Linked DNA regions of Schizosaccharomyces pombe. Changing the gene in region 3 together with the main gene of any one other region gives a genetic interaction. Each region holds a gene or a part of one and is shown on either strand. Other genes may lie near its edges.

Region 1 (6,474 bases), 2.3 Mb from region 3:
TGGTTTCCTTGGAGAAATCATGAGCAGTCTCGGTAGGGGCAGTGACAGCTTCTTGCACTGGGTGTTCTGCAGTGGTACCTCCAACGGCCACTGGGTTTTCAGACTCGGTGGGAATGGTCGAGGGGACATTTACCTCGTTCTTGACAGTGGAAGAGACACCCTTGCCAACATCGGTCACAGTTTCAGTAGCTTCTTGGACAACGGAAGACTCGTATTGCTCAGGTTGCTGAGCACGGACGGGTTGTTCAGCAAATCTCGCGATTTCAACCGTTTCGGCGGTGGGATGAGGAAGGTCCTCCTGTACAGTTTGTTGCACCTCTTCAAATGCTCCCGGAATGCCACTAGCACTAGCTCTAGCACTGGTTGTTGCCTCATGCGTCACACCTCCCTGGCCAAGGGCGATGGGCGATTCTTCTTCCACCGTTACTGTGGTGGTATGGGGGATGACATCTGCATGTGGAATGTCGCTCGCATCCTCGAAAACCGTCTCTTGCTGAACGTTTTCACCAATGCTTTCAAGTACGTTATCATTCATAATTCCATCGGCCACTGCATGTGACTCAGCAGTGGCAGTAGTAGAGGCAGAGGCAACTGCTGCTGTTGTCGTAGCTGCTGCCTGATCATGCGTAGTATTTATTTCTTTCGATATCATAATAGCTTCAGGCTCAATGGGCTTCAATTCTGGAATTTCTTTCTCAGCGGTAGTAATGGGTTGTGAAGTAGCTTTCGCCATGTTTTCCTCTACTTTCGAAGAAGGTTGCGCAGCAGATGTCGTTGCTGGCTTAGACGTAATCGAAGCTGGGGAATTACCGAGTTGCTCGTCATTGCGCTGGGGTGCGAAATGTTCGGCTACGACGTAATCAGCGGATTGTGTGGTTGCAGTAGACTTTGTAGAAGCGGATGAGGAGGAGGAGGAAGGGGAATTGGCGGGTTCGGTAATACTTGTATTGCGTGCTTCCGTAGTTGGCACTGCTGTTGACGTGGAGGCAGAGGGTTTGTTGTCAGTAGGCGGCTCTACAGTACCCAGAGCTGAGGATGCTATGGGTTCCAAAGGCTCGTCAACCTGATCAGCGTCTTTCTCCACTATAGTTTGTGTAAATCCTGGCTCTTGTAATATGGTTTGTTCTTGTTGTTCCTCTTGCGCGTGCTGAGCTTCTTCCACAGGTGTGGAAGAGGCAGATGCTGCTGCTGACTGCTTCTTCTTTTTTGCAGCCTTCTTTTTGGCGCGTTTAGCGGCCTTCTTCTTGTTATCCTTGGTGACGGACGCCTGGGAAGAATTGTTATTCTGCTCGACCGCGTTGGTACTTTTCGAATCCAGCTTCTCCTGGACTCTCGACGTTACTTGGTGAATTTCATTTTTCGTCTGTTTAACAATATCGGGATTCGTGGTCATATTCAACTCAATTTTTGTTCTACTTTTACACGCTCTGCGTTCTTGTTTGGTGGTTGGTAGAAGTTGTAAATCTTGGCGTAACTAGAATTTATACGAAACCCTGTTATGTGAGTGAAAAAATGCATATGTAAACAAAGTTAATTCAGACGAAAGTAAGACACAAAACAAAACATTTCTTTACCAAAACATTGCTTCGCTGATCATCTTCTTAATATTACAATTTATCTCGAGTGCTTAACTTTATTCTGCAGTAATTGTCATTTCTACCCGTTGTGCTTGTTGTGAATAACCTACCCTACTAAGAACATTCACAGTAAATATGTAGTATGGAATATGGGGAAAAAAATTTTTCTTGTTTAAGAAAACCTTACGCATAGTTCGCAACTGTAGTCGTTTTTTTATTTATTATGTTCGCAAGAACATTGAATGTACGAAATTGAGTATTCTTTAAAATTTTTTGTATCCCATTTCGTACGGATTTGATAATTGAATAAAAGTCCTTTCGCTTTTTGCTGAATTTATTTGTCTAACAAGATATTCGTTTTATAAGTTTTTTACACAATTTGCATTCTCCTAGTTACACGTATCGTTTATCGCAGACTGTAGTTTCATCTAATTTGCACCCCTTTACTCAAAACTTGGTAAAAATTTTGTGTATTGTATTAAAAAACTATTCTCAATTCTTGATATTAGTCAATTTCTCATAAAATTTTTAAAGTTATGTCACGTAACTACAAAAACCGAGAACTCACTCAGTTTGCATACAAAACATCCACACTCTTGAATTTTTAACACTTCATCCCTTTCCCCACGTCTAGCGTCTGCCTAAAGCTTTCTAAGTATTTCATGCTTGCAAGTGTTTACGGACCACGGTAATTCTTGTATAATGTGCGTTACTCCAATGCCAAGTACATTATTGAATGCAGCTGCTGTTTTGAAGAGTGTGTGATTATTCAAAAAACAAATATAAGAACTCTCCATATAGATAGAAATATTTGACGATATCAAATATCGATTAAAAAACAAAAAAAAACAGGATGAAGAGAACGATAAAATAACTGTCATGATCCGTACGAAAAAAAAAACACAAACTAAACGGTAAGCTTCCAAACATCAAATGCTGCGATATTCGACAGATAAAAATAATAAAAAAAAAAGGAAATTTCAAAAAGAAAAAAAAAAACAAAATAAGAACAGTGAAGTGGTAATCACGAATATAATTGGAATTAAAACATTAACAAACCATATCCAGTGCCATGCTAGAACAAGACATAAAGGTTTTCAAAGAAATAAAAAAGAATAATACGTATATATACATTATCACATATAATGCTGAATTAGATAAGTAATCCAAACAAAACATGTTCAACATGAATAAGTAAATTATTCCAGGGATAATGGTAAACAATCACATGCATGCATGACCAATATGAAAAAGTTAGAAGGCAAACAAACAACAGGGAAATTCTTTAGCATATCATGACAGGTCATTATTACAAAGATAGTTTCAAAGAAAACAGATTATAGAAATTTTATGCTTTAGTTGATGGAGGTGACCTATGAAGAGATTGGTCACCATACTCATTATCCATTCCCATCCTGGCACGAGGTTGATTACGCATCAAATCGATCGCGTTACCAAGTAGTCTATTAAATGTAGGTTTATCAAATGTAGCAAGTTTCAGGCGAGTTTTTGCCTGTACCGTCGCATTTCTCACTGTTTCGTGAATTAAAGCTAGTTCACCAAAGTAATCTCCCTTGGTTAGGGTAACGACTACGCCTTTGCCATTCTTCACTACTTCAGCCTCGCCATCCTCTATCAGATAAAACTGGTTACCAATGTCGCCTTGTCGAATAACGATGCTACCGGCTTGATACACGACTGTCTGAAGAGCATCGGCAATTTTTTGTCGTTGATATTTGTCAAGGCTTGAGAGAATGGGAACTTCTTCAAGGAGGCTTTCATACAGCATCCTCTGGCGATATGCGTTTTCAAATACGATACGACGGAAACTTGTACGATCTAATGCGTAAATTACATTATTTGGTGTTTTGGAGACCACCGATGCAGCTCGTGGAGCATTATACATGAGTGCCAACTCTCCAAAATATTCACCGGGAGAAATCGTAGTTATGTAGTTACCATAACCACTCGAAAGCACTTCTTCAGGGGTAATATTTAGTTCGGGCCTTTTGTATACATCGAATTCACCTTGCTCCACAATATAAAAGTAATCTCCAACTGCTCCTTGGACAATGACAGCAACACCAGCCTCTCCAATCCGTTTTTCAGTCATAGCGTTCAGAACCTCGTTGTAATGTTCTTCATCCAAATTCTTAAACAAAAAGTTCCCAGCAACTGAGCGCTTTAGTCTTTTCAAATCTTCAGGATCCTTCGGAGGAAAGGTTCGTTTGGTCTCTAGTGCAAATGCACTAGGATTCATCGACTCAGTGGAAACAGATTGGCGACGCAACAGATTGTAGTTTTGCGGATATGAAACGTTCATTTCTTTTAATCCTCCCAATTCAGGAACGTATTTGGCATCCGGACCAATTGCCTCGGGGCCAGCAACCATATCGTTGAGCTCAGACAGGAAATCGCTTTCATCTCCGTCGCTAAAAGACTCTGTAATGGTGTCGCCTAAAAGAGAAATTTGTTAACATGATAAAACAAAAAAGGGTAAAATTTGTGTAGTATAGAGTGGGAGATTAAATGGGTACAGGGTCCTTAAACAACTTTGTGGAATTATTAACAGCCAGGAATCATAATTGCTGTTTGCTGACTAAATTTAGAAAATACTTACTATAGAGCAAAACAAAGTAAAAAACCACAAAAAAGAACCCATATTGACCATCATTTACTTTTCCTCTCCACTAAACATAGCTATCCAGAAGCATCTACTTACCTCGACGAAATACTGAGCGCTCAGCTTTCAGCTTTTCTCCAAAAAAGTCATAGCAAAATTGAAGTACATCTGAAGGATTTTGCTCATCAACAAGGGCTTTTAGCTCCTCATATACTTCTTCGAAAGACATGTCTCCTAAAGTTTACGTGCCTTTCTTTCAAAAAATGCGGTTTTTTGTTTCTTACTCTCAGTGAATCACAATCTCGCGGTTTTTGTTCGCTTCAGCTTTTCCTGACACTTTAATCAACCACAAGAGGTAAATTTTCCAAAATAAAAGAGCTGAATTCAGCTATACAAATCAGTTATTTACCTTCGTTTGTTACGGTTGAGATGTATGTTTAAAGTCTACCTGAGGCGTTGGACTAAAATGGATGGATGCCTGCATTAGCTCACTCATACGTCATAAAATGTACTACGCAATGCCCTGACTCCATAATATGGGGTTTATCGAAGCGCATAAAAAAATAGAGAGTAGAATGTTTGACGATGCAACATAGCTTGCGTTTTCCAGTGTTTCGGTATATTATTTTGTGAAGCTTCTTGTACATCCGTGAGTTAAGTTAGTTAAGAAATGAATAGTGAGCGGTCTATGGAAAAGTGATATGATAAATATACATCTATAGTAAGAAATTAGAATCGCTGAATATGAGTTGTTTGTTTTCAAAACAAATTCAATGTAACTTTTGAAGTCTATCAGATCAGAGAGCTTGCCCGACAGGATTACAACAATAATAGTTTTGGTCTTATTAAAAGTGCTATAAAAACAATCATTGAAGTAAATATGCTTTCTGTATTGGCTAAACAAAGGTTTCAATGAAAACGTAAATAAGGAATCGCTAATGTTCACAGATAACAAAAGCGAATCCTCCATACCCTTCCTGCTTTGCTATTAACTTTTTCGACAAGAAAACGAAAATGCTTATTAAATGAAATAAAACCAGACGGCAATTTATTATGTAAAGTATTAACTAAGGTAAACATTAAACACATGAGAAATAAAAGTAGAAACCACCCAAAGACCAAGTTGTGCAATCACTGTCAAAAAAAGAAAAATGAAACAGCTTATGCATGCTGGTAAGTGTAATTTTCGGCACTAATGTATTAATTAAGAAGTCATCAACAACGTTACGTGCATGAGCATTAGTAAATTCAGGTATAAGAGGATGATGTCTCGTCCAACGGTCGCTTTACTCCTCGTAAAGCGTCGCTTGAGTTTGATGGTAAATTCATGCCCCTTACTGAAGATGAGTCGTCAACATTGTTTCCGTTCTTTGCATTAGTATCAAAAGATCCATTTTCGTTTTCCATTATATCTCTTTTACTAAAGCTTGATGCATTTCCAATGGAATTCATCCTTTGTCCTTGATTGCCTGTTTCAACTCTCTCTAAAGTATCATTAGGCGAAGAGTATAAAGGCCGATCAGAAGTGAATGGTTTGTTTATTGGTATGGTGTGTAGATTTTGATGGCTTGTTATCTCTGATTTGCTTTCAGAAGCAGTGGAGTTGTACGACGATGATCGAACTGACGATGGCCCCGCGGACACATTAGCCATTGCTCCTGGGGGTAACGGGTCTCCAATACTCTGGCGTGTATCTGGTAACTTCGAAGGAGCAGATGGCCTAACATATGGAGGTGGTCCAACGTTTACTGCAGGACGTTGAGTGACTGAGATACTAGGAGACGGTGATGTTATGTTAGGGTGCGGCATTGCAGTCGGCGCCGGATTAAGTTGCTGTGAAGTATAAGCTTTACGACGCTTTGCCTGTTGTTGCACTTGTTGGGGCCCTTGCATTTGCGTTTGCTGCTTTTGAAGTTTTTGGGCTAAAGCCACAGCGAGAGCATTCGCAATCGCTGTGGCTTGCTCCGGGTTGTTGGCAGCGGCAGGTCCTAGCTGCTTATTAATGTGCTGTTGGAGTAGTGAAATTGCTTGAACGGCTTGCTCGTTGGGAGCCTGTTGCTCTCCATTTGCATTCTTGAAAAACTCGGGGTTCAAAGCAAGTTTCCCATCGCGCATAATGATAGGTTGAATGCCATTTTGAAGTAAGGATTGTGGTCGATCCTCTACATTTTCTCCTCGGGAAGTATGAGTTTTACTACGACTAGTTTCTTTTTGCGGATTAAGCTGTTCGGTTTTTCCAGCTGATATACCCTTTGTCTGGATAGCGGCTAATTC
Region 2 (8,051 bases), on a different chromosome or scaffold from region 3:
AAGAACAATATATCTTTTTATGTGAAGTGAGTTTTCTTTTTATGATAATTTTATCTAAGACACTACTTCTTCCTTTCTTAACTTCATTTGTAATTGAATTATTTAAGCACAATTTTGTTCATAAATTCCTTTTACAGCTGAGAAGATGAAACCGAACACAACTAACCTAAGGAATGAGTGCTGGGATACTTTCTCTATTCCTAAACGCTCTCAGAATATAAAAATAAATCAGTCTACAAAACATCAAAGGTCTATATCTGATTTCGTTGGCACAGCTGGTCCTGGTCGACAAGTTGGAAACTGGATTATCAAGAAAACAATTGGTGCTGGCAGTATGGGAAAGGTTAAACTCGTTGTAAATATTTTAACAGGAGAGAAAGCAGCTCTCAAAATGATTCCCTTTACTCCTAATAATACAAGTCAGACAGTTCGTGTTCAAAGGGAGGCACTTTTAGGTCGTTTATTGAGACATCCCAACATATGCCGGGTAATAGACTGTATCCGGACGCCTGCATGTACTTACATACTGTTCGAATACGTTCCTGGAGGACAACTTTTGGAGTACATCCTTGCTCGTGGCAAACTCGATGAAGATTTGGCTAGGAGTTTTGCTATGCAGTTGATTAATGCATTGGTTTATCTTCACAAGAATTTTATTGTACACAGAGACTTAAAAATTGAGAATGTTCTTTTAACTCAGGATTCTCGTCAGGTGAAGCTAATTGACTTTGGCCTCAGTAATTTTTATAGTAAAGACGATTTATTACGTACATACTGTGGGAGTCTTTATTTTGCGGCCCCAGAATTACTTGATGCAAAGCCGTACATAGGCCCAGAGGTTGATGTTTGGAGCCTGGGAGTAGTGATTTATGTTATGGTTTGTGGACGAGTCCCATTTGACGACGTTTCCGTTCCTATGCTCCATTCAAAAATAAAGTCGGGTAAACTGGAGTTTCCTTCTTACATTTCAGAAGATTGTTGTTCTCTTATTGCAGCTATGCTGAATGTAAACCCACGGAAGCGCTGTTCTTTAGAACAAGCAGCAAAATTTCCCTGGTTAAAAAAAAATTCGTTTTGTTTGTATCTGCCTATTCCCTTAACCTCTATTCCCTCAACGCCTTCAATCCGATCTCATGTTTTCAAACCGCCTTTTAATTTAAAGGTTTTACAGCTGTTACATGAGCATGGTTTAGCAAGTATTCCCGAACTAAAACATGAACTTTACATGGCTTACATTGAGAGAAAAACAACTTCATTAGTCTGTCTGTATTTATTGGGTGTCGAAAGTCTCGCTCCAGCACTTCGAATTCCAACGGCTTTACCTCCTGTATATAGTAGACACCAACGGCATCATTCAGAAATTCTGGGTGCGATGGATTTGACAGAGAAAATTACTGCTATGCAGTGTCCACCTTAATTCCTCCTGGAGTAATTTTTGTTAGCATTTATTATGTGTTTTCGAAGAAGTTCCATTTTAATTAAAACCTGTGGCTCTTTTTCGTTACTTTAATTAAAGAGTTTCATTGTTTCTAAACTTAACTTTTTTCTTTTTTTTTTGTTAGTGGGTAAAGACGAGTTAAGGCTTTTTCTTTTTGTTTTCATTCTTAAATAATACAGTTTTGCAATCCAACATATACAAAGATTCTTACGACTTGCGTTATAATTTTAAAATATAATTGATCGATTTTTGATAGCATTACTTCTTTAAATCCGTCGCTTTTCATGAAATATTTGAATGCCGAATGCTATAAACATTTATAGATAGATACCTTTCGCCATTGAAACCGAATGAATTCTATAAGTTTCTTTGTCAGGTAATTTAATTACCTTTATTCTTAATCAATTTATTGGTTGAGTTATCTTTACATTACCCCAGTAGGTGTGGGTGCCAAGTAAACCTTCATCGATAGTATATCTAGTGAAATGGTGATAACAATACTGCATTGGATGATTGCTTGATACGTAAAGAAAATAATGAACATATATATACTTAACATTCTTACGAAAGTAATGGAAGAGAAAAATTAGAAATTACGTTGCGATATAATATATATTTTTTTAACTACAATATATATGTAATAACGGGCCCAAATTAGATGACAGGAAATTAGATGTAAGAAATCAATTCATAACGTAAGACATTGTTCAAAATTAAAAAAAAAAGAAAATTAGTGGGCAACTATTCAATGTTGCCCAATGTGCTCTTTGGAAACTAAGTATACACATATTCCTATAATAAACATAAAAAGGGAATAATTAAAGAGTTTAAAAGGTAAATGAAATAAATTATGGAAGGCATCATCTAGCATAACAAAGATATGCAAAATTAAAAAAATATAGATTTTTAAGCATGACATGAACAAATCAGCTGCATGCTTTTGTGACGCGTTAAAAATGATCGTTTGTTGAAAACAAAGCCATGTTTGCATAGAAATATTTTCAAAATAAATTAGAATTGGGCAACCAAGGTTCTAAAAGAGAAGGTCCCAATGAGTTAGCATCTTTGAGTGAGGAAGCAATAGGATCAGTTGATGTAAAATCCGTAATTTGTGAAAATAAATCATCCAATTCTTGAGAATGAGCGGCGAACTCATAATTGCCATTTGAGAACAAACTTTGAGAAAAACTATTAATGTCAACAAAGCCTTTACTTTGTTCGTCGCTTCTCCAGGTATTATTTTCAGTATGTCCAGAATTGGTAACACTAGACGAAGAGACGCATGTATAGCCAGAACTGCTGTTCAATCGACTCATTGCTGGGTAAGAAGTATGGCAATAAGGCGTAGATAAAAGTTCGGTCTCTTGGCCGTATAAATACGCAGTAGTGCTGCCTACACTGAGAGGAGTTCCTAGGTACTCAGCTCCATCAAAACCATAATGATCACCGGTATTCGGGGTTTTAGGTGATATACTGGCATTGGGGCAAGAGGGAGTTGAGGGTCGAGCATCAATAGGACTACAATGAGACAACACTTTATCGGCTGACAGCTCTGGACTATCAGAGTTACTTTGCTCACTCACGGTTCCTTTAGAATCAAATTTTGGAACTCTTCGAGCAGAGCAATTGCTTGAATTTTGAGGCAAGTTCGCCTCCAAGCTCGGTGTTTTTGACATTTGATAAGATTTGTCAACACAGCCATCAGATGACATTGATCTTTTCGGTACTATTCGGGCTTTATTAGCTAAACACACAGATTTTGTTCGCCCGATTGGACTACCGCTACTGGGTGATCTATAATAGATGCCCAAAGAACTAGGAGCTTGCTCGGATTTATCCAATGTAGAAATAGTTGTAGAAACTTGATCGGTGAAGGATAAGGAAGGAATTGTATGACTTCGAATCATTGGGGAAGACGAAAGACAAGACAATTCACTGGTTTCAATAAGATTCGATTTACCTGACTTTGGATATGAAAGAGCGGGAGCTAATAAAGCTGCTAAAGTTTCCTCCTCATTAACAGGCTTTTCGGGTTCGGTCTGTTTTAGAGTCTTAGAAGATTGTGCAATTTGCTGCAGTACAACGTAATCCGAGGCCACAAAAGATCCGGAAGAAGGTGATACCTTTTTATGGCGTCTACGAACAGTAGACCGCTTTTTAGGGGTGTACTTGTATTCGGGATTTTCCAGCATATGTTTCTGCCTTTCGAGGGCGGATAAATCAGAATAATACTTCTTGACTTGGGCACTTTCATTTCTCCACAGCTGACCAATGATACGTGAGATACTTTGGTGATTAGAAGTAGGAATTTCAGCTTGGCGATCTCGACGATAAAGCATAAAACTGTTTAAAGGTCGCTTAACAGAACTTTTTTGGTCCTTTTGCTCGGCTGTTAAAGAAGCAGACATTGTGTAGAGAAGAGTAAATATAAAAATTGTAGTAAAAGTAAGGGAGAAAATAAAACAAATGAAACGGTTCTTAGAATTAATTAGAAAGATGATTCAGTAAGAACAAAGCAAACATAAATGAAGTTCGCAGTCAGAAAGAACGAAGTAGAAAAGAAGCGAACAGCACAAACCGAGGGAGAGGGGATGAGATCAGAAAACAGTAAAGAAATAAACACCGAATAAAAACTGGTGTGAAGGATTTTTTTCTATTTAAAAAAAGAAAAATGGTATTAAGATAGAAAGAAATCTCAAACTAACAAGAATGAAAAATGAACAAATTATTCACAGTGAAGTAACAGATGAATATAGTAAAAGTAAAATTCCCTTGTATGTATCAACAAATAAATGAAAATAAAATTTCCGTCAATCTAGATATTAAACAAGCTTGTTCGCCAAAGAAATCAAGTTCAAGCTTAATGAATAGAGACTGACTGGACTAAAAAAAAGAAAAAAGTGACAAAAGTATATTTGATGCCAGGTTTTTCCTAAACGAAAAAAGTAAGGTAATGAAATAATAAATGAAACTAATGGAATTTCCAGCTCAAGAAGAAAAAAACAGAAGCAACACTCAAAGCCGATTTGAAAAATGTAAAGAAGCGTAGAAAAAAAAAGATGAAAGTTGAGACTGAAAAGTTACTAGATCGAGTTGGAATGATGAAGGATATTTTTCGTAAAGGCGATTGAATCAAGGATAACTTGAAAGAGACAATTAGTAGAGGTCCAAGTGGAAGAAGGAGTGAAAGTGATATATAATAGAAGGCCACAAGAAAAAAATTGAAGCTTTAAAAGTGATTTTCTTATAAGCCTAATTTTAAGTTGAGGAGATTTGAAAACGAGAACAAAATCACGAGCCTCTAAGGCTTTTTTTTCTCTATATAAAACGGAGGAAAAACTAAAAACAAGAAAGAGCGGAATAGTTAACAGGAAAAACAGACGAAACGGAAGACTAAATAACGGAAAAGTGAGTCAAATAAAAAGGCGTAACAAGGGAGAAATTTCAGAGACACCGATAACTGAAGAATGGTTGAGCTCTGTAAGATGGTGAAACTTTGGGTATACAAATAAAGTGAGGAATACCAATGAATACGTGAATAATGCGACAATGACAGGGGAGAAATAATGTTATAACATGAGCCAACAAAGACCGATGGTGAATGCAACTTAATTCTGAATGGTGTGTACTAATGGAATCACAAAAGAAACACGTTAAAAAAAGGATATTAAAATAAAATGAGGAATGAAAATCTAATAGATCAGATATCAAGGATAAGCAGCCAAGCGATAGAATAACGATGCGAATAAAAAAAATTTAAAGTTGGGCAAAAATTGCAACAAAGAAACAACTTAGTTAATTAGTAGAGAGAAAGTTGATAAAGGATAACTATGGTGGTAGAGACAAAGAAATATATAAAAAAATTTTGACGTAGAAAAAAAATAAAAAAAAGGGGGGGATTCGACGTACAGTAAGGGAATCGACGTAAAAATTAAAAAAAAAGATAAAATCCTTTTGATTTCAAGAAACGAAAAAATTATTCCAACACTTCTCAATTAACAATTCCAACAGAGGAGGATCCCAAAAGAACGTAGAGGCAAGAAAAACGAGAAAAGTTTGAAGAGAGAAGCGAAGCCAATTGGACCAACAAAATGAAGAAACAGAATAGAAGAAGAAAAAAAAGTTTAAGTCTGTTTACTATAAAGAAAAGAAGAGATGTGAATAAAAATTAATCAACAAATTAAACTTAGAAATAGTCAGTGAAAATAAGTCAAAGTAAAGTCAAAACAAAGAAAAGAATAGAGCTAAGCCAAAGCAAACCAAGATAAAGGAATAGACTTAACACGAATAGACAGGAAAGAATGGGAGGAGGCAAGCTAATTCAAAGACGACAAGCTGCAATCAAGACAAAGACCAGAAAAGTTAAGTTAAGTTGAGTAAAAAAAAAAAAGAAAACAAAGAGAAAACAAAAAAACGAGGCAAAAGCTCTCAAAGAAAAATAAAATGCAAACTAATCAAATGAAATACTTTCTTTTAGCATTCACAATCAGGTTTAAGATTGAAAAGTCAGAATGCTAATAATGCTTTGTTTATTTGATAATAAAGAAAATCCAATATACGACGCGAAACAATTCAACGCTGGATATCCTTTTAATATATGCTAAATGAATAGATTCTCACTATGTAAGTCACCAGGTATGTATGTATATATATATATATATACATACGCATTGGCAACCAACTAGTAAGAGTATAGAGCGAGGCGTAATACGCGATGTTACTGACAATGAAAATCAAACAAAGAAATTCAACTTTTTTAAGTCTAGCCAAAATGTGTATGAGGGGAAGGGACAAAATTCACAGGGGTTAAAGTAACATATGATGCGAAAGCATTTGTCACTTTTACTTGCCTACAAACGATGTAACACAGCAAACAAAGTCAGGGATTCCCCCCTGTACAAAAGATTAGTGTGGCACTTGGCAAAAAGTCTCGCAAAGCTACTTTTCGTTGAGGGAGATAGCGCAAGGCAAAATGACAAGAAGCCAACGACTAGTCTTCCAATGAATGAGGAATTGTAGAACGCTGGGGAAGTTGGAGAGTTAAGGAGGGGTGGAGAAAGCAAAATAGAGTAAGCGGGCATTTGAAGAGCGGCAATTTGCGAAACCGCAGGGTATTATAGGTAAGGTTTAAGCAAATGTTAAAAGAATAAAAAAGCATAGCGAATGTGTGAAAACAAGTGCCGGCAGTTTGAGTAGTAAGCAAGTGATGAGGAAGTAGTTTGGGGTGAACGGAACGGGAGTGAAATAAGAATGGCGAAGACTTGGAGTCATGATGAAAAATACAGGTACTACGAGCGGAAGGAAAGAAACCACACACATACAATGATTCTATCGAGTCATTGCCATTGGAATTTTGCTACAATTTACCGAAAATTAGGCGTGGGTGCTTGTGTTTCCCTTCCATCATCCCTGGAGATGGCATGCACCACAAATAATCTATCGCTACAGTGATAGACATGTAAGATGGAGAACAAGAATGTCGGAAAGGTAAGTGCTGTGGTAGTACAGGGTGATTTGCATAAGAATGACATTTTTTTAGCAAGATCATAAAATGGGAAACGCGATGGAAGAGACTATGTGAGACACAATGTATGCTGTAAAAGTATAATCTTATTATATTAAAAAAAGAACGACGAATAAATTGAGAAAGGTGAAAATTTCAAAAAAAAAATAAATGGAATGGAAAAAAGAAATAAAACCATTGAAAACGATAAAAGTCCAAAGACTAGACATTATTTTAGAGAAGGAAATGAATGCTACTTGAATTTGTGCAAAGTAGCTTTGACTTATGCAATGTAATAGAAAATAGGAATTGCCGCCAGATTAGCGTATGTGTGCGTACAACTTGAGATATGCGCTAATTTCCATTGCATATCACCCAATCGCACTATTAACCTGGGCTTTTGTAAGAATTGAGCGAGCGACCAGCAAAACAAGGTTGAGCTTAAAAGGTGGATGACCCGCCGAGTCAGAAAATGGCGGCCGGCAAGATGCAGAGAGGAAGGAGACGATAGGAAGGAGAGATGGGAGAAAGTAGAGGTAAAGATGAAGATGAAGATGTAGATTAGTTATAGATGAAGACGAGTTTTGAATGAAAAAGGTTACTACTGAACGATAACGAATTTAATTTGAAAACGAATATAATTTTTTGAAAACGACTATACTTTGAAAATAACCTAAACCGATAAATTTATAGCTAAAAACTTCACAAATTGTATTGTGGAATGTTTTCTTACATATCACCAAAATTGCATCCTTTTGGAACTGGACTCTGCTAGCCAACTGTGCTTATCATTGTTGACTTGTATAATCCCTCATTGCGGCTAATCGATGTTGGATAGACAGTAAATGAAAAAAATGGAGAAAAACAATTTGGTGAAAAAATTGACCATCCTATATATGGGTGACTCTTGATCATATGTATATCTCTGATCATATGTGTCTTTGACCATATGTATCTTTAAAAATGCTATAGTGTTTTACAAGCGTAACTTATTAAATTTCTACCAACCCATTTTATTGTCATATCCATTCTCCTCTAGTATCTATTCTATCTTACTACTTCTTCCTATTCTACTCGAATAAACTTGCCGATTAACTTTTTGCTCTAGAG
Region 3 (8,964 bases):
AATTTTTTGCACTCAAGTTTCACGCGATTATTATCAGATGCACCTGAATAAAAAAGAATAAAGTAAAATAAAAAGCCGAATGTTTTATAACGTAGTAAAATTCCTTCTTATTTTGATCGCTTTGCCATTCATTTGATTATGTTTATAATGATAATTTCACGTGCAATGTCAACTTTGATAGACGGCTACATCTATTTCTAATTCGTAACGCTATAAAAAAAAACTCCATTTTAAACTGAGAATAAAGCAAGAAGTCGATTAGCCGAATATAGATATCAGCATGATTCGTTTTAAACGGCCCAAAGCCTTGTATATATTTGAGTAATTTTCTACTGTACTTAATTGTCTGTAATTAAACAACTATTTGTTACTCCTACCTTGTTACACTTGGATTTAATACTCTGGAATTAGTGTACTAACTCCTAAATAAATATTTAAGTAGTATTTTTCTTTAAGATATTTCTTTAATAAACATTCTCTTCTAATGAAAAGAAAAGCGTCATTATTGGTATTTTAGTTTTCAGAGCAAAGAGGTACTTAACATTTATTATGTCGCAATTATTTTATATATATATTATATTAATATTTTGTAATGAGAAACCTAGGCCTAATAGTGTAGTGGTTAACATACCTCTTTCGGGTAATCCCCACTTGTATGCTGAGTTTAGAGGTGATCCCTGGTTCGAATCCTGGTTAGGCCCCTTTTTATACTGGGCTTGCTGTATAAATTTATCTGATTAATTTTGAAACTACGCAAACCAACTTTCAATAATTAAAAAGTTTTCCTTACACCTTGCTTGATTACCTTTTAATAGATGTGAAATAAGAACTACTAAATTTGTGATAAATACCGAAAACAATCAGAAGAGTCGAAAAGAAGCATTCAAAAAATTGTGTAAATAACGAGTAGGTTTCTAATAATACGATAATTTCACAGGATGCCTATAATGGATCTGGCAGCTAATGAGCAAATCATTTTTACTTTTTTTTTTATTTAAAACATACGAAAAGATTCTCTTTTTTTGCTGCAAACAAAATTTACTGTAATTGAACCTAGAATTGGTAGCAAAGGCATTACACCGTATTACTGTAAACTTCACTAATGTTTGTGTTTTTAGGCGCATGATGAACATGATTACTCAAGAAAGTAACCAGCGACTATGTCAAATTTGCTTCTGATCATTGACTCGGTTTCACAAAAAATAAGAGACAGGAGGAAGTTGGAAGAGTTTGGACAGAATCCCGATGAAGAAATTGAGTCTTCATTGAAAGATGTTCGGCAAGAATTGCAAAAACTTAATGAGGAGCAATCGCGATTAGAGAAAAATGCACAAATCCCAGAGTACAGAGTACGAGAATCCGAAGCATTTCTTATTAGAATGCAAAGGAGGTTAGAGTCTGCTGAGGAAGAGTTTGAGAAGCAGCGGCGTGCATCCTCAATTCCTGCTGACGGAACAAGTGCCTTTTCTGCAAACCCGCAAGTTGCAAGTACGAATAATAAGTTAACTCCCCTTCCTTCTTTACAAAAAACGACTTCGAGTAGTGAGGGATCTGATATTGAGATGGAGGCCATGTATCCGGTTGATGGCAATGACCCTGATCCCATAAACGTAAACGTTTTGGCTCAAATGCATCAGCAAATGCTCAACGAACAAGAAGAATCTTTAGGAGGGATCGAAGCAAGTGTCCAAAGGCAAAAGCGGATGGGATATGCAATGAATACAGAATTGTCCGAACAAAATGTTTTACTAGATAATATGAATAATGATGCTGATCGAATTGAGAGGAGGTTTGATCATGCAAAAAATCGATTAAACAAGGTCAGCCGAAAGGCTAAACAGTATCCCAGATGCTTTATTATTTTGCTCCTTTGTGCGTTGTTATTACTTGTGGCTTCCATTTAGGGTGCAAATAAATATCACTTAGCAATTGTACTTGCTGTAACTCTGTTACACTTTCACTTAATTCTTTTATTTCACGTCCTCTTTGAACTAGGCTATATAGTTCTTTTATTTATATTTAATAACCGTGATATTTACGAACTTTTTTTTTACGATTTTGAAAATGTTTTTGTGATCTTCAACTTCTTTTGCTAAACGAACCTTCCCTTTATAGGGAATACAGAAATTAACTTTTTCGTACATTCCAGTTTCTAACCATTGACTGTCTTTCTACTTTAGTAATTATTTTTCTGCTAGCGCATTTCTTATCGAAATCATTTTTGTGTTCTTTTAAGGGCCGTCCCCCTTGTTCACAAAGCTAGTTTTGACGACTTAAATCAAGTGAATATAGTGCATGCAGAGTGAATGCTTAATAACCATTTGTTACAAACTTTGTTTCGCTAATAACTCCTTATTTGACATTTGAATAAATAACCTATTAGACTTTCAAAATTTTTAGATTCAGGGCAGTAAACAATAAACAACAATATCTTCAATTAGCTGTATCAATTTATTTTCAGAAGTTTTGCTATATTATTCCTTCATCTCATTAAAAAATATTCTCTTCTATTATTAAACATACGTAGTCATGTTATCATTATCATTATTAAGGAAAAGTTTGAACGAGTAGATTCTTTCTTGAGAATTAAGGGAACATGTGCTTGAATGCCATTTTTTTCATCTTAAATATAAAGCCTCCGTTGCTATTGTTAACCATATCACGCTGAACCTTTTTTGATAATAAAATATCAGAAGCAACCCTCTTAACTAATGTGTTGTGAACCTCTCAGCATTGCATATCTTAGCGTAATTAAATATTCGGTAAAAGAGGATCGTTTTCCTATCAACAATTGAACCCCAAATCAAAATATTCAAAACTTCAGATCAATCCTTAAATTAATTAAAAACCGAATCAAAGCTAGTTGATTTTTGTTTAAAAAAACTAAAAGATGCATTTCATTAAGAAACAAATAGTATAAAATATAAAGATATGAAAAAAATTAAAATGAGGGCGGTTGATTCCGATTATTATCTGTAAGCAAACCGGAAGTTTCGGATACAGGATAATTAAAGTCTGAAGACCAATTTGCCCCATTGTTATTGAATGAATTAAAATTAAAGAAAGGAATTGAATTGGAATTATCTAATTTCTCAGACTGAAAATTAGTCTCCATTTGATCCCCTTCGTTGTTCAATGAATTTGAATTCTCAACGCCTTCAAAATTGTAAGAGTCAAAATATCCCATCGAAGCGAAGGCCTGATCTTTATCGGTAATTTCTTCAGATAATGAAATGCCTTCTTCTTTGATGCCTTCTGATATTCTTCCTTCCATATCAACATAGCCTTTTGGAGGATAAGCTTCAGATGGATATTGCTCTGTTCCTAATGGCGAATTAACATGTGCATATGTGGGCAATCCAGAAGGGATCGAAGAAGGACTCAACGTTAATGGTTGCTGCATTAAAGATTCAGGGCTATAACAGCTCGGTGAAAAATTAGTGCCACTAGGCGATATGCAAGACTGACGCATATGTTCGAGATTATCAAGACGAGTATAATCCACAGAATTACTCTTAGGAGGATTCTGAAAAAAGTAACTATTTGATTTGTTGATCAAAGAATCTTTTGGTGAAGCATGAGGAGAAGGCATAGCCTGAAGATTAAGAAACGAAGCAGAAACATCAGATGGGCCACTAGGTTGATTGAAAGTAGGAAGATTTAAAGACTCACTAAAACTCATCCAATCCAATTTATCAATCTCGTACCCTTCAGGAATAGATTCAGGAAGTGTCATATTCATAGCGTAATTTCGTGAAACGGCGTTAGGTGAATACGGCATTCTAGCCAAACTTTCATCGTCTAATTGACCTGAAAGGCTTTCAGGTCTATTAAAGTCATAAAGCTGCGGGTGTTGATAAACAGAAGGCCTCAAATCGCTGGCAATGGTTGCCCTACGATAGTACAAAGGACTGTCGGGTCCATAAGGCACACCGAGACGTTGATCTGACCATTGAGAAGATGTAGGATTTACTGCACCAGATGCAGAGGCATTTACCGTTTCCCTCCCATTACCGGCAGAAACCAGCCTTTGTTGTTGGGCTTGCAACCAACTTGCAGAAAATGAACCTGAGTTGTTCGCAAGCTGCGCTTGTAGTGCGGCATGCAACTTTGGATAACGAAATTTGTCAATGGAATCTGCCTGAGGTAAAGAAATAACAGGTTTAGAAGCTAAATTTGTTGTGCTTACCGAAACATTTGAAAGAGAAGGATTGGGTAAAGCCGTTGTTGAACGACGTCTTCTTCGAGGTTGTGGATTCCTATGGATTTTCTGTTGGTGACGAAGTAGAAGATCACGCCTCGAAAACTGTCGACCACAACCTGTAGGTAAACCATCAATCTCACTACAAGTAAAAGGCTTTTCGTTGGTATGAGATCTGATATGTCGTTTAAGATGCTCCAATCGAGCAAAAGCGCGTGTACATGTTTCACAAACATATTGTTTAACTTTCTGGGGTGGGGCATTAGGGTCCTTTTTAGCAGCGGTAGAAGAAGCCACAGGTTTTGAATTAGAAGTAACAGAGCTGGGTGTATTAGCATTAGAGGTACCAGAATCGGAATTAATAGACATCAAGTTTTCCGAAACTTTTGATTCGGATAAAGTATTAGCTTTCGAGGCTATCGGTGCTAAAGACTCACGCGTCATGATAAAACAAGTTTTCAAATTAAACAATTATTTTCTTATTTTTCAAAAGAAGAATATGTTGTTAAAATAAAAGATATGAAGGGAAATAAAGCTTGAAAGTGATTGCAATCAGGATTCAAAAAGACTAAAAACGAAAACCGCAAAATAATTTTCGAAAATGAAATGCAAGATCCTAAATTAGTTATCAACAAGTCAGAAAAAAGAAATAGCTAAATAAATCAAAATTGACTTGTCAGAGAAATACAGGTAGGCAAAAATAAGCAAGATATAATCTGCCAAATAATTTTACCAAATAACGTTAATAGCAAAGCAACAGAATATGTTAAATATTTCTTAAGGACAACAGGGAGATGAGAAAAGTAGTTGAAGAAGGAAAATATGAGGAGAACTGTTGAGATGCCAAACTTTTTTTTTTTAAAGGGGATAAAAAAAGAGTGTAATCAAACAAAAAGCCACCGCGAAGAACAACAAGGAAAGAAGGTCGGTAAAATAGACAGAGAAAGAATAAAAACAATCGATTGAACCTGCACACAGTAATAGCACAGATAAACAAGAAAAGACACTTGAAAAACTTAATGTACTTCAGAAGAGTCTATTTCAAAAAAAGCCTGGAAAATAAATTTCAAAAAGATAAACGCCATCCACACTTTAAATAGAATTAGACACTAACTAGGAAATAAGAAACGTATTGTCGAAACAATGTACGTCAAGAGGAGAATCGGAAATGTAAGGAAAGGAGAAAGAATTAACAGTCAAATAATAACTGAAACAAGGCACGTGAAGGACAAAAAACGAATCCTATAACATATATACTAAATGTCTGATAGATTGGTTAAGGATGTCAATTTTATACATCCAAACTAAAAAATATAAAATAACAGACAAACGCTTTGCGGTTTTCCTATTTCACAAAGGAAAAACCAAAATTGAATGATAAATGAAGTGTATCCTATGCGAATTGTAAAGAACAAATCAGCTTTTAACACTTAAAAACGAATTTTAGTGCAATAATCTTCAATGATCTGAAACTCTGCAGTGAACTCGTATTTTACAATTCGAATAAATGAAGTTATTGCAACTTAGAAGTAAAAATCTTCTAGTGTAAAAGATTCTCTTTCCTTTCTAAGCTTACTAACTGGTCAAGTGGCGAAAAGCCGGATATCGACGATTAATCGTTTTTGAATGTTTTCACTGACTTCTAGTAAAAACCTTGATACTTTTAATTACTCAAACTTTCTGAATCCGTCAAAACTCTTTCTTAACAAATAATTTCAATCTCACTCATGTATATGGAGGATTGTCAGTTTAATGCATGTCGTTGTCGCGACTAAACAAATTTTATAATAACCTAATATTTCCAGGTAACACAGGTAACGATGCTTAAGGCACCATGTGGAAATTCTGAATCGACATTACATACTTTTGTGGGGGTAGGGTCAAACTACGGTTATCTGCCGAACAACATGTCCATGAGCTCGCAGATATCGTCCACTCGTTGTGGTCGATAGTGGAACATCCCAGTTTTAGCTCTTCCAGTAGATTTAACGGGGCGTTGCCTCCACGAAGAGACTTAACATCGCTAGCACACTACTAGCATAGTAGCAGTTCACCTTGAAAATAACTACACATACAAATATGCTACTATTTCGATAACGACATTTTAGGTTAACACTTGGATCTCCGGGTTGGCTTCTATCTATATGCCGATCGTTATGTGAATCGTGTGAAAATGCACATTTCTACACTTGCAAAAACTGACGAAAAGTTATAACTAAACACAACAGTCAACATAATAGTATGCTGTAGTAAACTAGACTTGGGCGTTCAAGAATTTCTTACTCATAAAAAAAAATTCGTTCTATTCAAAGACTAAATTTAAGAATCCCTACAAACTCATGTTAAGTAGCAGAGAAGTCATTATTATCAATCAATCAATCACCTTTTACAAAAATGACTTCAACAAAAAGGCAAGTCCATGTTCATACATAAATTTTGTTCATCATCGGATATAGAATTCATGCATTAAGGTGGTAGTTTCTATGCATACAAATCATCAGCACCATCATTTCCGAAGCTTGGTCCATTAGTATTACTATCAGCCGAATCAAACTGGAATCCTGTAAGACCACGCGAGGTAAGGAGTTGATGGGCATAAGCTTCATAACGACGGACTTCTGCATCACTGACAGAGCGGCGTGCCATTTTCATGGCCTCCTCCACATGATGACGCTGAACTTGAGACACAGATGCATCTTCGTCCATAACAACATCGTCAGCAGGAGCCTCTCCAGTCTCATTTTCGCGCTTGATGTCTTCTTCAATGCTGTCCTTGATGGCCAATTTAACAGCTCTTTGTACAACAAACTCCAAATCAGCACCTGAGAAGCCATGGGTCGCCTTAGCAACTGCACGCAAGTCAACATCTTCAGCAACAGGCGTATGTCTCAATTGAGTTTGCAAAATGCTGAAGCGAGCTTCTTCATCGGGTAAGGGAACGTAGATTAATTGATCCAAACGACCGGGACGCATCAAGGCAGGATCAATCTGATCGGGACGGTTGGTAGCACCAATAACAAATACATTCTTCTTGCTGTTAACACCATCCATCTCAGTAAGAAGTTGGTTGACAACACGATCACCACCACCAGAGTCACCAGCAGAAGCGCCACGTGCTTTGGCAATAGAATCCAACTCATCTAAGAAAACGACACAAGGAGCTGCAGCACGAGCCTTGTCAAATATATCACGAACGTTTGATTCAGACTCACCAAACCACATGCTAAGCAATTCGGGTCCCTTTACTGAAATAAAGTTGGCAGAACATTCGTTGGCAATGGCTTTCGCCAACAATGTCTTACCTGTACCAGGGGGTCCGAAAAACAAAACACCTTTGCTGGGAGTGACACCAAAACGCAAAAACTTTTCGGCATACATAACAGGCATCTGGACAGTTTCACGTAATTCACGCTTAACTTCTTCCAATCCACCAATGTCTTCCCAACGAACATTGGGAACTTCCACAACGGTTTCACGCAAAGCAGAAGGATTGCTGGAACCAAGGGCAAATCTGAAGTTATCCATTGTAACACCTAGAGAGTCTAAAACCTCGGCATCAATCTCATCTTCATCCAAGTCAATCATATCCATCTTTTCACGAATCTGTTGCATGGCAGCTTCAGAACACAAAGATGCCAAATCAGATCCAACGTAACCATGAGTCTCAGCAGCAATTTGCTCAAGATCAACGTCATCAGCAAGCTTCATGTTCTTTGTGTGAATACGAAGGATCTCTAAGCGGCCGGTGGGATCAGGAATACCAACATCGACTTCACGATCAAAACGACCAAAACGTCTCAATGCCGGATCGATAGAGTTAGGACGATTGGTAGCGGCCATTACTACAACATTACTACGAGCTTTCATACCATCCATTAAAGTCAATAATTGTGAAACAACACGTCGTTCAACTTCACCATTCGTTTTTTCACGCTTGGGAGCAATAGAATCTATCTCATCAATAAAAATAATAGCAGGGGAATTTTTTTCGGCTTCTTCAAACGCCTTCCGCAAATTAGACTCAGATTCGCCTGCCATTTTTGACATAATCTCAGGACCATTAATCAGGAAAAAGAAAGCGCCCGTTTCATTAGCAACTGCGCGAGCCATTAAAGTTTTACCGGTACCTGGAGGACCATACATAAGGATACCACGAGGTGGCTTGATACCTATACTTTTGAATAATTGGGGATGACGGAGGGGAAGCTCGACAAGCTCACGGATTTGAGCCATCTGGCGACGACAACCACCGATATCGTCATAGCCAACTTCTGCCAAGCTACTTTCTTCATCCTCACGATTAATGGGTTCACCTTCCCAATGAATAATTGTATCCTGGCTAACAATGCCAAATTCATCAGGAGCAACATCAACAACTTTAAATTCAACTTGACGCATACTACCCCGTACAACGAAAAGATCGCCCTTTCGAATAGGACGATACGCTTCAACAAAGTACGGCTTAAGGTAAACATCAAAGAGAGAACCAGTAAGACCCTCGACGGTATCAGCCAAGGGTAGTACTGAAATTCGTTCAGCATATTTAATATCTGGACAAGGATTGATCGTTACAATATCGCCTAACCTTACGCGCAAGTTGTTACGAACAACACGATTAATTCTTGCTACGCCATCTTCCATTTCTTCGTCAGTTAAAACAATCAAGACAGTGTCTTTCCGTCTCTTTCCTTTAACGACAACTGTGTCACCACGGAAAAGTTGTAAAGTCTCCATGGTATTGGACGACAATGTGATTACTGAGT

Evidence for each region.
Region 1: of rst2 (region 3) and cgs1, changing one suppresses a phenotype caused by changing the other (phenotypic suppression), as found in Schizosaccharomyces pombe (2 studies listed by BioGRID).
Region 2: of rst2 (region 3) and ste11, changing one suppresses a phenotype caused by changing the other (phenotypic suppression), as found in Schizosaccharomyces pombe (one study listed by BioGRID).

The regions. Positions count from the first base shown.
Region 1 is NC_003424.3:3,641,194-3,647,667, reverse strand, and holds cgs1 (cAMP-dependent protein kinase regulatory subunit Cgs1), read right to left. Parts: upstream 4,640-6,474; 5' UTR 4,430-4,639; coding exon 4,300-4,429; exon of another isoform or gene 4,035-4,299; coding exon 2,926-4,034; 3' UTR 2,032-2,925; downstream 1-2,031. Other genes in the region: SPOM_SPAC8C9.04 (uncharacterized protein), read right to left, coding at 1-1,393; SPOM_SPAC1142.09 (uncharacterized protein), read right to left, coding at 4,823-5,170; DNA-binding forkhead transcription factor for ribosomal proteins Fhl1, read right to left, coding at 5,449-6,474.
Region 2 is NC_003423.3:3,981,381-3,989,431, reverse strand, and holds ste11 (DNA-binding transcription factor Ste11), read right to left. Parts: upstream 6,057-8,051; 5' UTR 3,847-6,056; coding exon 2,440-3,846; 3' UTR 2,032-2,439; downstream 1-2,031. Other genes in the region: serine/threonine protein kinase Ppk25, read left to right, coding at 146-1,417. UniProt on the Schizosaccharomyces pombe protein: Key transcription factor for sexual development. Activates the transcription of the matp, matm, mei2, mfm, ste6 and rgs1 genes. Binds specifically to a DNA fragment carrying a 10-base motif 5'-TTCTTTGTTY-3'.
Region 3 is NC_003424.3:1,306,661-1,315,624, reverse strand, and holds rst2 (DNA-binding transcription factor, glucose starvation sensing, Rst2), read right to left. Parts: upstream 5,945-8,964; 5' UTR 4,646-5,944; coding exon 2,942-4,645; 3' UTR 2,196-2,941; downstream 1-2,195. Other genes in the region: fsv1 (SNARE Stx8), read left to right, coding at 1,161-1,904; AAA family ATPase involved in ubiquitin-mediated protein degradation Cdc48, read right to left, coding at 6,683-8,964.